2 linked regions of the Cricetulus griseus genome follow. The protein of the gene in region 1 binds, or shares a complex with, the protein of each later gene. Links are inferred from orthologs where the notes say so. Each region holds a gene or a part of one and is shown in the gene's direction. Other genes may lie near its edges. The genes, in order: Ntrk1 and Ngf.

The links.
Region 2: the proteins of Ntrk1 (region 1) and Ngf are in contact, whole or in part, in a crystal structure (PDB 1WWW), measured with the Homo sapiens proteins. The link is inferred for Cricetulus griseus from reciprocal best matches to the Homo sapiens genes NTRK1 and NGF. Residues at the interface, in NP_002520.2 of Homo sapiens: His291, Val294, Glu295, Met296, His297, Cys300, Pro302, Phe303, Ser304, Leu333, Glu334, His343, Gly344, Cys345, Arg347, Thr352, His353, Met379, Asp380, Pro382; in NP_001424474.1 of Homo sapiens: His125, Pro126, Ile127, Phe128, Arg130, Gly131, Glu132, Phe133, Ser134, Ser138, Ser140, Trp142, Tyr173, Phe175, Arg180.

What each region holds. Positions count from the first base shown.
Region 1 is NW_023276806.1:66,679,294-66,685,181, forward strand, and holds part of Ntrk1 (high affinity nerve growth factor receptor), read left to right. Parts: intron 1-1,481; coding exon 1,482-1,811; intron 1,812-2,177; coding exon 2,178-2,195; intron 2,196-2,352; coding exon 2,353-2,408; intron 2,409-2,632; coding exon 2,633-2,735; intron 2,736-3,178; coding exon 3,179-3,325; intron 3,326-3,623; coding exon 3,624-3,754; intron 3,755-3,894; coding exon 3,895-4,067; intron 4,068-5,888. UniProt on the Homo sapiens protein: Receptor tyrosine kinase involved in the development and the maturation of the central and peripheral nervous systems through regulation of proliferation, differentiation and survival of sympathetic and nervous neurons.
Region 2 is NW_023276806.1:54,474,732-54,481,104, reverse strand, and holds the start of Ngf (beta-nerve growth factor), read left to right. Parts: upstream 1-2,276; 5' UTR 2,277-2,345; intron 2,346-6,373. UniProt on the Homo sapiens protein: Nerve growth factor is important for the development and maintenance of the sympathetic and sensory nervous systems.

The sequences.
Region 1 (5,888 bases):
CTATGTTCCAGCATAATTTCTCCTTTATTGTGAAATACACATAGTTATGCACACCAATCATACACATTATTTATTTACTTATTTATTTAGAGACGGGGTCTTGCAACAAAACCCAGGCAGCTCTGGAACTCACAATCCTCTTGCCTCAGCCAAGTGCTGGGATTACAGAATCGCCACACCTAGCTGACATACATACTTTAAGCAAGAATTACCCTTGCCAAGACTTTAGAAGACACCCTCCCTCAGTCCCAACTCCATCTCTCCATCCTAATTTTTATGTTCAGTGCTTCCTTGTGAAAATAATTTTCCACAGGGGCTGGGAATTGATCAATAATGAGCATTTTCTATTGCTTAAAAGCACTAATTGCTCTTGCAGAGGGCCCAGATTGGGTTCCTAGCACCCCACACAGTAGCTCACAACCATCTGTAACTACAGTTCCAAGGAATCTGATGCCCTCTTCTGGTCTTCATGGTCACCCAGGTATATGTGTGGTACACATACACGCATGTGACAAAACACTAATAAACATAAAATAAAAATAAATCTTAAAATAGTAGTTTTCAAGCTGGGCACGGGGTGGTGCATACACATCCTTAATCCCAGAACTTGGGAGGCAGAGCAGGCAGATCTCTGTGGGTTTGAGGCCAGCCTGGGCTATAGAGCAAGTTCCAGGACAGCTAGGAGGGCTGTTACACAGAAAAACCCTGTCTTGAAAAACCAAAAAAAAAAAAAAAAAAAAAAAAAAAAAAAACAAAACAAAATTTTTCTACATGTCTGCTTCCCTATTAGAAAAATTTTGTTTGTTTTACACATTATATAAATGAAAACTTACTCTATGTATTTTTTTTATCTATTTTCTTTTGTCCAACCTTCATATTTGTGAAATCCATCTGTGGCAACAGAAGTAACTATAATTCCTTCATATACTACAAATATTTCATGTTATGAATGCTGATGAGAATTCCCATAAATTTGTATGTTTGTACATACATGTTACACAAATATATTTTGTCTGTTATTGAGGGGTTTTCAGTTTTTCAGGACTGTCTCAAAGCCATGTTTCTTGATTTTTTAATTCTTTCTTTCCTTTTCTTTTTCTTCAGTGCTGTAACTGTCCTTGGATGGGACCCAGGACAAGCTGTGTCCCAGCCTAGCAAGTGCTCCTTACTGAGCCACGCCCTAGCACTGTTATCTACTTGTTTAGAGACAAGGTCTTTCTAAGTTACTTGGGCCTTGAACTTGTACCCTTCTGCCTCCCAAGCAGCTTGGCTGGCAGGCCATCACTACTAGGCCTGTACTGGGCTCTATGTGTGTCCCTTAAGCTTCTGAATTTTGTCTGTTGGCTGCCACATTCAGTACCAACTTTCTTCCAAATATGTCTTCTAGAGGGTTTCTTAGGATCTGCTACCCCTGATTTCTCCCTTCCCTGAATTCCTTCCAGCCAGTTGTCCACTCCCTGTCGTGTGCCCTCTTTCCACAGTCCCCGCCAGTGTGAGCGTGGGCCAGGCAGTGGAGCAGCACCACTGGTGCATCCCCTTCTCTGTGGACGGGCAGCCAGCACCCTCTCTGCGCTGGTTCTTCAATGGTTCGGTGCTCAACGAGACCAGCTTCATCTTCACCCAGTTCTTGGAGTCTACACTGACGAATGAGACCATACGACACGGCTGCCTTCGCCTCAACCAGCCCACCCATGTCAACAATGGGAACTACACACTACTGGCTGCCAACGCCTATGGCCAGGCGGCTGACTTCATCATAGCTGCTTTTATGGACAACCCTTTTGAGTTCAACCCCGAGGACCCCATCCCTGGTGTGAGAGCTGCCCTAAACCCTGCCCTGCTCCTGGGAGGCACCTGGGTGGAGAGCCGGCCATCCAGGGAGGTCTGGCCTCTGTCTGCCGTGACCCTGGTTCCCCGAGCTAGAGCGCTTTGTCCTGGACAGAAGAGCTGGTGGCCAGCTCTATGCTGTCCTCCTTGCCTCTCTCCCAAGCCAGGCCTGCTGAGGCCCTGAGCTGTTCTAACTATCCAGGCTGAAGAGAGGGCTGTGCCCTCTAGGCAGCTATAGCTCCCTCTTTCTTGAGGCCCAGCAGCCTACCCCACCCAGTAAAGGAACACCCTGGAGGGCAGGGCCTCACTGTTCCCCCTCTGACTGCTTTCTCTCCTCCTTCCTGCCGCAGTCTCCTTCTCGCCAGTGGGTGAGTTGCCTGGGCTGGAGGGCAGCTGTGTTGTCTCAGAGCTGAAGCAGAGGGGACAACTAGCTGGGACCCTGAAGTGTGGCCAGGGTGGGGAGCTGCTGGAGGAGACACAGCAGTATGTGTCAAGGCCCACCCCTTGTGCCCTGTGTCCCCACAGACACTAACAGCACATCAAGAGACCCAGTGGAGAAGAAAGATGAAACACCTTTCGGGGTGAGTGTGGGATGTGGAAGCTTATGGGGACGTGGAATGGGGTGGCCAGGCATGGCTCCCTGGCCTGTCATTTGGAGCTAGAGCAAGACAATCAGTCTACTGCATCCTGAGCTTGGTTAGATGCTCCCCCAGCCAGGCTGAGGTCACTAGGGAAGCAGGACACAGGGCCAGGCACCTGGCTCAGGACTCCGCTGTGGGATGGAACTATGCAACACTACTTCTAGGTCTCTGTGGCTGTGGGCCTAGCCGTCTCTGCTGCCCTCTTCCTTTCTGCCCTGCTCCTTGTGCTCAACAAATGTGGACAGAGAAGCAAATTTGGGATCAACCGTGAGTTGGCAGCAGAGGGCTATCTGTCCATCTATCCCACTGGCTTGGTTTTCTCCTGTCTCTTCCTATCTATGCCCTGTGGTGTTTGGTATATTATTGGGGGGTTGTCTGTGGGGCTCAGGCTGTATGTGTGCTGGGCTGGGGCAGGGTCATTTTGGAGGTAGTGGTTATTCGTTTGTGGCTGTTGTCAAACACTGAGTGGTCTGGAGGGCTCATTTCTGTCAGCAGCAGGGGAGGGTTTGGTGCCAGGGGCCGGTCAAGAGGCCCCAGTGCTTCCCTTCCCTTGCCTACTGTCTCGCTCTGGCATGACTCTTTCCCTCCTGCAAGGTAGCCGGGCAGGGGGCGGGGGGGGGGCGGCGGCTGGCACTATTCAAGCTGGTCTGAGCAAGTATGGAGATGGTGCTTTGGCCTGGATGTTTCATGCTGGTGTGTCTCTTCCCTAGGCCCTGCTGTGCTGGCTCCAGAGGATGGGCTAGCCATGTCCCTGCATTTCATGACATTGGGTGGCAGCTCTCTCTCCCCCACTGAGGGCAAAGGCTCCGGACTCCAGGGCCACATCATGGAGAACCCACAGTACTTCAGTGACGCCTGTGAGGAACTGTGTTACAGTAGGCGAGTGCGAGTGTGTGTGTGTGTGTGTGTGTGTGTGTGTGTGTGTGTGTGTGTGTGTGTGTGAAGCTCTTGGGCCATCACTGTGCCATCACCCAGGCCTATCCCCACCCTACCTCAAAGTCTAGCCTGGTTCCTGGTTCAGGGTCGTATCTCCCATACTCCCTGGCCGGATCCTCTCACCCACCCACACCCCCTTTCCTGTGGTTGCACTGCCCTTACCAGCACCCCATCCCGCCCATGCCAGGGCTGCCTTCTGACTTTACAAGCCCCTCCCAGGTGTCCATCACATCAAGCGCCGGGACATTGTGCTCAAGTGGGAGCTAGGGGAGGGAGCCTTTGGAAAGGTCTTCCTTGCTGAATGTTACAACCTTCTGAATGAACAGGACAAGATGCTGGTGGCTGTGAAGGTGAGACCGTGGTCCTGGTAGGGACTGCTGGCCCATGTCCCTCAGAGCACAATCATGTCAGGGTGGGGGGTGTTTGAATGGAATAAGACTTGCGATGGGACTGGAGTCCCCTCTAGCCGTGACCCCACCCCTCCCCCTAGGCACTGAAGGAGGCGTCTGAGAGCGCCAGGCAGGACTTTCAGCGCGAGGCAGAGCTGCTCACCATGCTTCAGCACCAGCACATCGTGCGTTTCTTCGGAGTCTGCACTGAGGGTCGCCCGCTGCTCATGGTCTTTGAGTATATGCGTCACGGGGACCTCAACCGTTTCCTCCGGTACAAGAGCCCAGCCCCTCACTCAGTCTTTGGTCCCTTCCCTGAGAGAGTATCTTTGCTCGTCTGCCTGACTGAGGGGGAGACACCAGGAAGGGATAAGAAGGCGTAGCTGCCACCCACAGGGAAGTAGAGTGGGCAGGTGTGTCAATGTGGGCATGTCTGTAGGACAGTTGCTAGAGGTCAAAGGTCTGAACTGGAGCTTTGGGACCATAGTTCTGTAAGACTGTATGTGCATTTATGTGCATAGAGGCCAAGCCCGCAGGGAGATGTGGTATGGAGAATGCTGACCCCAGGCAGCCATCAGGCCCCTTCTGGGTTCTGTGTGCTTGTGTAGTGCTATATTTTTCAGTCTCCAAGCATATAAGCCATTTATATTGGAAGGATGTCACACAAAACTCACTTCTTTGACTTTGGCTAGGACAGCTCTGATGTTTAGTTTCTGATACTTGTAATCACTTCGAGAAATGTGTTGACTTCACAAGAAGGTTTAGGGGTGACAAGACCTGCCCAGGACACGCAGGAAGTGAAAGCTGCCACTCCAGCAGAACTCTTACCCTCAGATACAGGCTGTGATGGTCCTTCTCCCTCAAGGTAGCCATAAGGCCCAGGCAGGATTAGTTAGTGGAGTACCACCAGAATCAGCCACCATGTCTGTGAATCTTCCTTTCTGGCCAAGAGCACACACCAGGGGGAGAGACAGAGAAGGCTTCCTGGAAGAAGGGGCATTAAAACTGAGACTCCAGTCAAAAGGCAGAGAAATAAGCCTGGGCAAAGGAGGCTGGGCCAGGAGGCAGTGTAGCTAGGAGGGAGGTCCCATGTGTCAGTTAGGCGAAACTGTGGCTCTGGGTGAGAAAGCTGACGCTCATGGCCTGATTTCCCAGAAGTTCTAGGGAGGGGACGCTCATGTGTACAGTTGACAGGGTTAGCTATGAGAGACCCTGAGTAGGAGTGACCCTGGGACAGTGCACCTCTGCAGGGACACTGAGTGGCTCAGGTAGGCCAGCCCTAAGATGCATGGAAGTAGACTGGCAGAGTAGCCAGTGTCAAGGGTGAACATCTCCCTGTTTCTGGACAGGGTGCAGGCCTAGCCAGAGAGATGTCATCAAATGGGCCCAGGCTGTGTGAGGAGCAGCTGGAGCACAGGGAGGGAGGAGAGAATCTGAGGCAAGCCTGGAAGGCTTTGAGTAGGAGGCTTGGGCCTTTGTGTTTCCAGCTTCCTCCGAAGGCACATGGGACCTCCCTCCTAGCTACACTGCCTCCCGGCCCGGCCTCTTTCCCTGGCTTACTTCTCTGCCTCTTGCCTGAAGTCTCAGATTTAAGGCCTCATAGGTGTTCAGCAAACTCCTGATATGTGGGAAAAGGCACTGCTAGCAAGGTGACCAGTAGGAAGAAGAAAGACTAGGAAGGAAAAGTGGCACCATGTGGACAGCCTGGACTGTGGGGCACCCTGGAAACCTTTGCAAAGGAAAACCATCCAAGGAATAGCCGGGCCCTAAGGACAAAAGTGGGGGGTGATGGCAGGAGATTCAAAGAGGACTCAAGTTGCTGGCCTGGAGGAGGCTCCCTTCGTGGGGCAGAGTAGGATAGGGGGGGCAGATATAGCTTAGCTTAGCAAAGGCTGTGCCTAAGTGCTATGACAATGACAATGACTAGGGGCAGCTGGAGGCTGGGCTGAGTTCCTCCAAGGACTATGGAGTTAGTATCCTTGGGGGTAGGGTTAGTCAAGGAGAAAGACAACCCCGTTTTCCCCCCTTACCCCAGCTCTCCAGACAGCTGCCTCCTCCTTTCCTTCCTCCCCCCCTTTTTTTTTGCCCCTAGTCT
Region 2 (6,373 bases), about 12 Mb from region 1:
ACAAATGACTCTCACAATTTTTGGATTCAAAACACATGTCAGGTCCCTGTGCTAGGTCCCAGGGAGACTAACAATGTGATCAGGGTGTAATAGTCTCGCCATCATGGGAACAACTGTGCCAGCAGGTGTCACAGCCATCTTCTGGTATGCAGCACAGAGTAAACCATTGTTTGTTGTTTATATAATCTTACTTGCTCAAGATCCTTCGAATTCAGGGACACAAGCAGATCTAGTTAGAGCTGGCAAAAACAAAAAGCAAACAAATACAGAAACCTCCTGTTAAACCAGGGTATGCCCCCATAATATGATAAAAAAAATTTGCAGGTGGAACAGCTGGGCTTATATTTTACTTTGTTTTTAATACCCCTCTTGAAAAAGAACCACAAGTACCCCAAATCCTTTTGTCCTTCAAGGTGACACCATAAGGACACATACAAAAGCCCCGCATTTAACAACCAAATCGAGCTATTCTGTAGTTTTGAATTTCACCCCTAAATTCACAGGCAGTTATTATATAGAACTGATTCTTAAAAAGCAGTTATATGTGAAATGGTTAATGGATAGATGTATTGTATTGTCTGGAAACTGTTAGTTGTTTGATTAACAACGATAAGTTTTCTAATAGACCACCACAGCCATTATGCTATTTCTACTCTGCCATTCTAGAGTCCCCTGACCTCTCTACTTCACTTCTGAAATGTGTTGATCTACCAGACTGTGTCTGGACCACACAGACCATGCTTAGCAAAGCAAGAAAGCTCAACTTCCAATGCCAGTCCTTTCTTCTTCCTTCATCCTTCTCAGAGTGCCTAGAAATGGGACATAGGTAGATGTGGGGACAAAGGCAAAGACACAAAGGAGTCCAAATCCAGATGGCCACAAGTTCCTCGGCGGATCCTTTCCTTATCCAGGTGTCTTCCAATGGGGATGAAGGACCACTTCAAGTTGTTCCTGGGAGCCGCTGCCTAACTACATCCCAGCTGCATGGAGAATGACTTTTGCCTGGGCAGTACTAGCAAGTCATCAGCAAGGAGGAGACTCAGTACTTCACCCTCCCTCTGTCACTCTCCTGCATCCATTCCTTCCATCCATTCATGGAGGCGGAGGCAGAGAGGAGGGGAGCATACAACATGCTTTTTCAAAGGAAGAAAAGTCATTTCACAAGTTCAACCAGCAAAAGGTGTGTGTGTGTGTGTGTGTGTGTGTGTGTGTGTGTGTGTGTGTATTTCCAAAGATCTTTCTTACAACTGTTCATGCACATGCACACTTGGTGAAAAATCTGACTTTAGGTATATTTCTGCCTTATTGGTTTGGGGAAGAGATGAGGTGGAAATATATACAGGGAAAGGGGGAGGTCTAAGTCAGTCAGGCCCCCACCAGCTCCTGAATCTATCAGATCCAAGAAATTCTGGAGACCCCACCTTAAGTAAACAAATAGAGGAGATGAAAGGGAGTGGGGTGGGGTCTGGGGTGGGGCAGAAGGCTTGGCCTTCTTCTAAGGCTGTACTCACCAATTCTTAAAAACTGATGAAAGCTGTGGACCCCAGATCTAGAAAACTGTAGGCAGCACACTATTCCATCTACAATATTAGAGGGAACTGAGTTCCTGGGAGGCTCCTGCAATCCCAGACCTTAATGCTGGCTGGGAACGTGAGGTATCTGGACCCCTAAGACCCTCTTCCCTCAGACCCCCGGCAGATACACCTCTGTCTAGACATTCTAGTTAACTCTGCTTCTGCCTGGTTTCAGATAACCTCCTAGTACTTGCCAAACCCCGGGAGCTTCCTGGGTGTTCTTTCAGCTCTCAGATTTGCAGGGAGAGGAGCACCTGATGTCCAACCACCAAAGGAGACCTAAACCAACCCAGAAGGCTAGCAAAGCAGTGAGCCAGGGCAGAAGGTGAAGGGACTCTTCTAACTCCGACAAGCTACTCTGCCCTGCTCAGCCTGTCTGCCCATTGGTGTGCAGGACCAGCTACCCTGCCTGGTGCCCTAGAAAATCTCCCTCTGCCACTGCGAACCCGATGCATTTTCATTTGTCCTCAGAAGGTTTGAATCCTTCCCTGGCTGTCTTTTCCTGGCCGAGTCCCACCAGCCTTCCTGGAGCTATCCATCCCTTGTCCCCAGGACCCCTGCAGTCTGGCACCTTGGGTCCAGTCACAGCAGGTGCGGGGCTGGGAGTGGGGGTGGGGCAAGGAGGAAGGGATGAGGTGGGTGGGGGCCAGGATTTGGAGAGGCTGTGACTGGAGCCAGGGAGGAGGGGCTAAATACATTCACGAAGCCTGTTACAGCAGCTCTGTGCTCCAGCACAGCAGAGAGCGCCGGGAGCCGGAGGGGAGCGCATCGGTGAGTCAGGCTGCGCTGAGCCGAACCCCTGACGGGGTGCAGAGCGGTGCGGCGGACCGGGTTGCTGGGCTTGGAATGGTGTGCATGGATCCCTGTCTGGCGAAATCTTCGTGGGTTGAAACGCAGCCCTGAAAGAAGTGTTCGGAGTAGATGTAGGGACGCGAGCCCATGGGCAAGCAAGGGAGGCGAAGGAAGTGAGGGTCTCTCTGGTCGTAAAATTCCCTGTCCCAGGATGTCTAGAAGTCCCAAAGTCAACACTGGCGCCTGCAGAAGCAGCACCGCCTTTCCTGAGCTCTCAGGCTAGAAGGGGACAGCGCTCAAGAGAACCTGGAGAGAGGGATGCGCGCGCTGCAAGCGCGCTGGGGTGGCGGAGCAGTAGCCCGCGCAGTGGAGGGTGAGTGCATAGCGCGTGGGCTGGGGAGTGCGCAGAGTCCCCAAAGTGCCACGCAGCACCAAAGTGAGAGGACCAGCGGCCCAGGGTGCGCTAGACTCGGTGCTTGTCGCAGGGCTCACAGTATAAATTGAGAGTGCCAGGGGTTGATTCAGGGAGCTTGGGTTCCAAGTGCCGAGGTCCCTAGCAACAGGGCCCTTGGTGGGGCCTGCTGGCTATCTCAAGGCTCATCCCCAGTACTTGGGTCACCCAGTACATTCAACTGTCTGCTGCCAGGTGTGGCAGAGGCTGGCACCCCGGCATTGGGAAGGGCAGCGGGAGTCTTGGGTTCAGGCAGAGAAACTGCAGGGGAGGGAGAGAGAGGACTCTGGGGTCATGGTATTGCAACTTGAAGCCAACGTAAACATGCGGCTTAGTTAGCTCTGCTTGATTACAATGCTCTTGCTTTCATAAAACTTTCTGAGATTCTTAAGGAAGGTGTTTTTGGCTTGACCTTTTTCGTCAGGTTTACTCCAGAGATTCAAGAAGTGCCTGCTTGCTAGGCTGGTTTTTCCAAGTTGTTCCAGGCTGGAAATTGTAGCAGTTTGAAGGATAATTTATGGGTGTTTCGTGCATTAAAGTGTATTACAGCAAAGTCTTTTGGGTGCTGTGGGTATTAAGGGAAACTCAGGGCACGTTCCAAGCTGCAAACCAAAATACTGCTCTCCTGGGTGCCTCTGCCCCTTCTGTCACGGGAGGCCAGTGGAAGCCCTGGAGAAAAGACACTTGATGTATTGTCCTGCATCTATCCCTTCAGTATACTCTCTCTGCCCGTGCCAATCCACTCTCCTCATAGGCATAACCAGCTGAACTTTGCAAGCTTAACTGGCATGGAGGGTCGTGGACCCCCCTCCACCCCCAGTAACTTCTCCCCAGGGTCTCGAACTTCTGAATCTGTGTTATATCGGTTTGAAAAGATCTGTATAGTTTTGGCCCCTGCCACCCTTCTTGACTGGTGTTACGGTTCCCTACCTAATGAAACTTTCCCTCTCTGCGAGTCACAGGCCACATTAAGCCTGATGGGTTTCATCTGTTGAGTAAGGCATGCGTCAGCCTGGCCATCTGAATACTAATTCATCATAGACAGTATTCCCAGAGGATGACAGGGGACAAGCAGCTGGAAAGGAGCATGGTCTGGGGGATGAGGCCAGCATGGCAGGTACTGATGTACATGTCCCTTGTCCTGGGTAGCTGAAGGAGGATGGAGTTAATGCCACATCTTTCTGTTCCTCCCCTCATCATTCTCCCCAATATTTTAGGCAGGTGGGGAAAAAAAGGGAGAGAGATGCCTCCAAGAGAAAATGTTAAGGAGTACCACCTGTAGGAATTCAGGGTCTCTAGGGCATGGGCACATGATTTGACAGAGCTATAAGAGTGACTCAGAGGGTTTGATAGCCAGCTGAAATCAGTGTCATCCCTGGACAGCCACTGGAAGCAGCCCAAATAATCAGAAAGTTATTTGTTTAGGACAGTCATGCTGATGTTAGTGGCTGTCAATTCTTTACTGTTAACCTTTAGCAAAGAATAGGCTTTCACTTTCTCCTCTTACCCACCTCACAGTCCCCATTTCCCGAGGGCAGTGAGAGGAAAGGATGAGGCCCCACACTCCACTCTCCTCCAGGGAGAACTCTGTGCCCGGACCAGAAAGGGGCCCCAGCTGCCAACATCAGCATGGAGACTAGGGCAGGGCAGGGCAAGGCAGGGCAGGGCTGGAGCCCCAGGGAAGTTTCTCATCGTTACTGAGATTCAGCTGATGAGAAAATCACACACTTCTAAAGGAGAGTTGAGCATGACAGCTGCTCACTTGTGGAGCACAGGGTCTCCTAGCTGTGGGGGGGAATCCACAGAGAATACAGCTACTGCTCTTCTTTGCTAGGTATGTAACCGAGCTGTGCCTACAGGCCCACACAGCACTAACAGACTGAGCCAGAGACCTGGCCATTTGCCTTCTCCTAATAAGAACTTGCAGGCACCTCAGTATCTGGAGCAGGCCGTCCACAGTCAGGAAGTGGAAGGTTTGCTCAGAGTATGTACAAAGTCTCTGGTTATCTGAGAAGCCAAGGACCTGTGTTTCCATTAAGTGTCTCTTTTCTTTCTTTGACTGGCGCTTTTGATCTTACACATTGTTGCTCTCAAGCTTAGCCAGTTCTAAGATTAACTCTGAGAGAATTAGTGTTGTGTCATAGTGATGTCCGCCAGATAAATAAAGAGGAAAGAAAGATCCTTCCTAACTGTTTCCTGGGATGTTTGCTTCTTGACAGTGGGGATATGGTTATGATTTCCGATCCCAAATAGAGAGACTAAGATGGCTCTGAGACCACTGTACAAAACAGAGAAAATGAGGCCTTGGGATCACTGCCAAGGGGGTGTGCACAATGAGGAGATGTTCCTATCTGGGCTAAAGGAAATAGACCTTCAGTTACACGGTTTAGACAGGACTGGAGAAATGAGAATCCACCATAGAGGACAGCTGCTTGTGGTTATTGTGTCTTTTTTTTTTTTTTTCTCTTCTATGGACAATATAATGTCTTTTGAGGAATTTCTGTAGATTGTTGGCCTTTGACTGTGATATAGGAAAATCAAATGTAAAGGTTGAGATGGTCTCTTGATTAACCTTGAGTAATCTTCCAATGGAGGTTTTTCCATTGGAAAAAGGAAAGGCAGCTGTGTGACTGTGAGCTCCATCAGTGAGCAAGTCATTAACCTCATGAAATCTGACTAGTGTATTCCATGATGCCTTTTGTAAATGGAGCCATTGACACATCAGGGCAATTCTTGGTTAAGTGTGACCACTCTACACACACAGGAAGTTCAGTGTCCCTGCCTTACCTACTAAATGTCAGAAGTCATGATGGCAGCTGAGTTTGCCTCCATGTGTAAACGGTGCTTCCAGTTAAGACTTCCCTTGGGAATGGAATAAAGGTCATGCTTCCAGGCCCTTCTGTTGAGGCATCTATGATGCAGTCAGAGAGCTGGGACTTTAGAAACCCTAGTCTTTGTCCTCTGAGTATCAATATATCAGACATAGTGCCTCTATCAAAAGGGATCTCAGTGTTATGATCTTTCCAGGTGTCACCCTCTGCCTTCTGTGACTGGAATTTCACTGCAATGGAGAAGAACAACAGAAAGAATGGGGGAAAGGTAGAGGGTATCAGGACAGGGCACCTCCTTCCTCACCCATATGCTGTTGAAAGCATAGACAGACTGCCTGCTCAGGGAGATCCCAGCACTGAAGAAAATCCTTCCCTTCCTTGTCAAAGGGATTATGCTTTGGCAGTAGGAGGTGCCCTCCCTAAAGCAGGAAGCCTTGTCCCCTCACCCCTGACAATGACAGCACTTAATACAACATGAACACATGCTGATAGCAAATAAATCCACCCAGTCAAACTGTGAGGGTAAATGAGAATCAGTGATGTTGCATGGAAGGGATGCTGCTTAAGGCACTGGTGACCTTCTCAAATAGAGCAGCTCACGTTCTCCTCACCTCTGTCCCAGGATTGCACTTGGGAACAAAGAAATACAGTTCAAATTGATAAAAAATAATATTTTTGGAGGATGTATTGGAACACACATTCACTACTTACCTCAAACTTAGTAG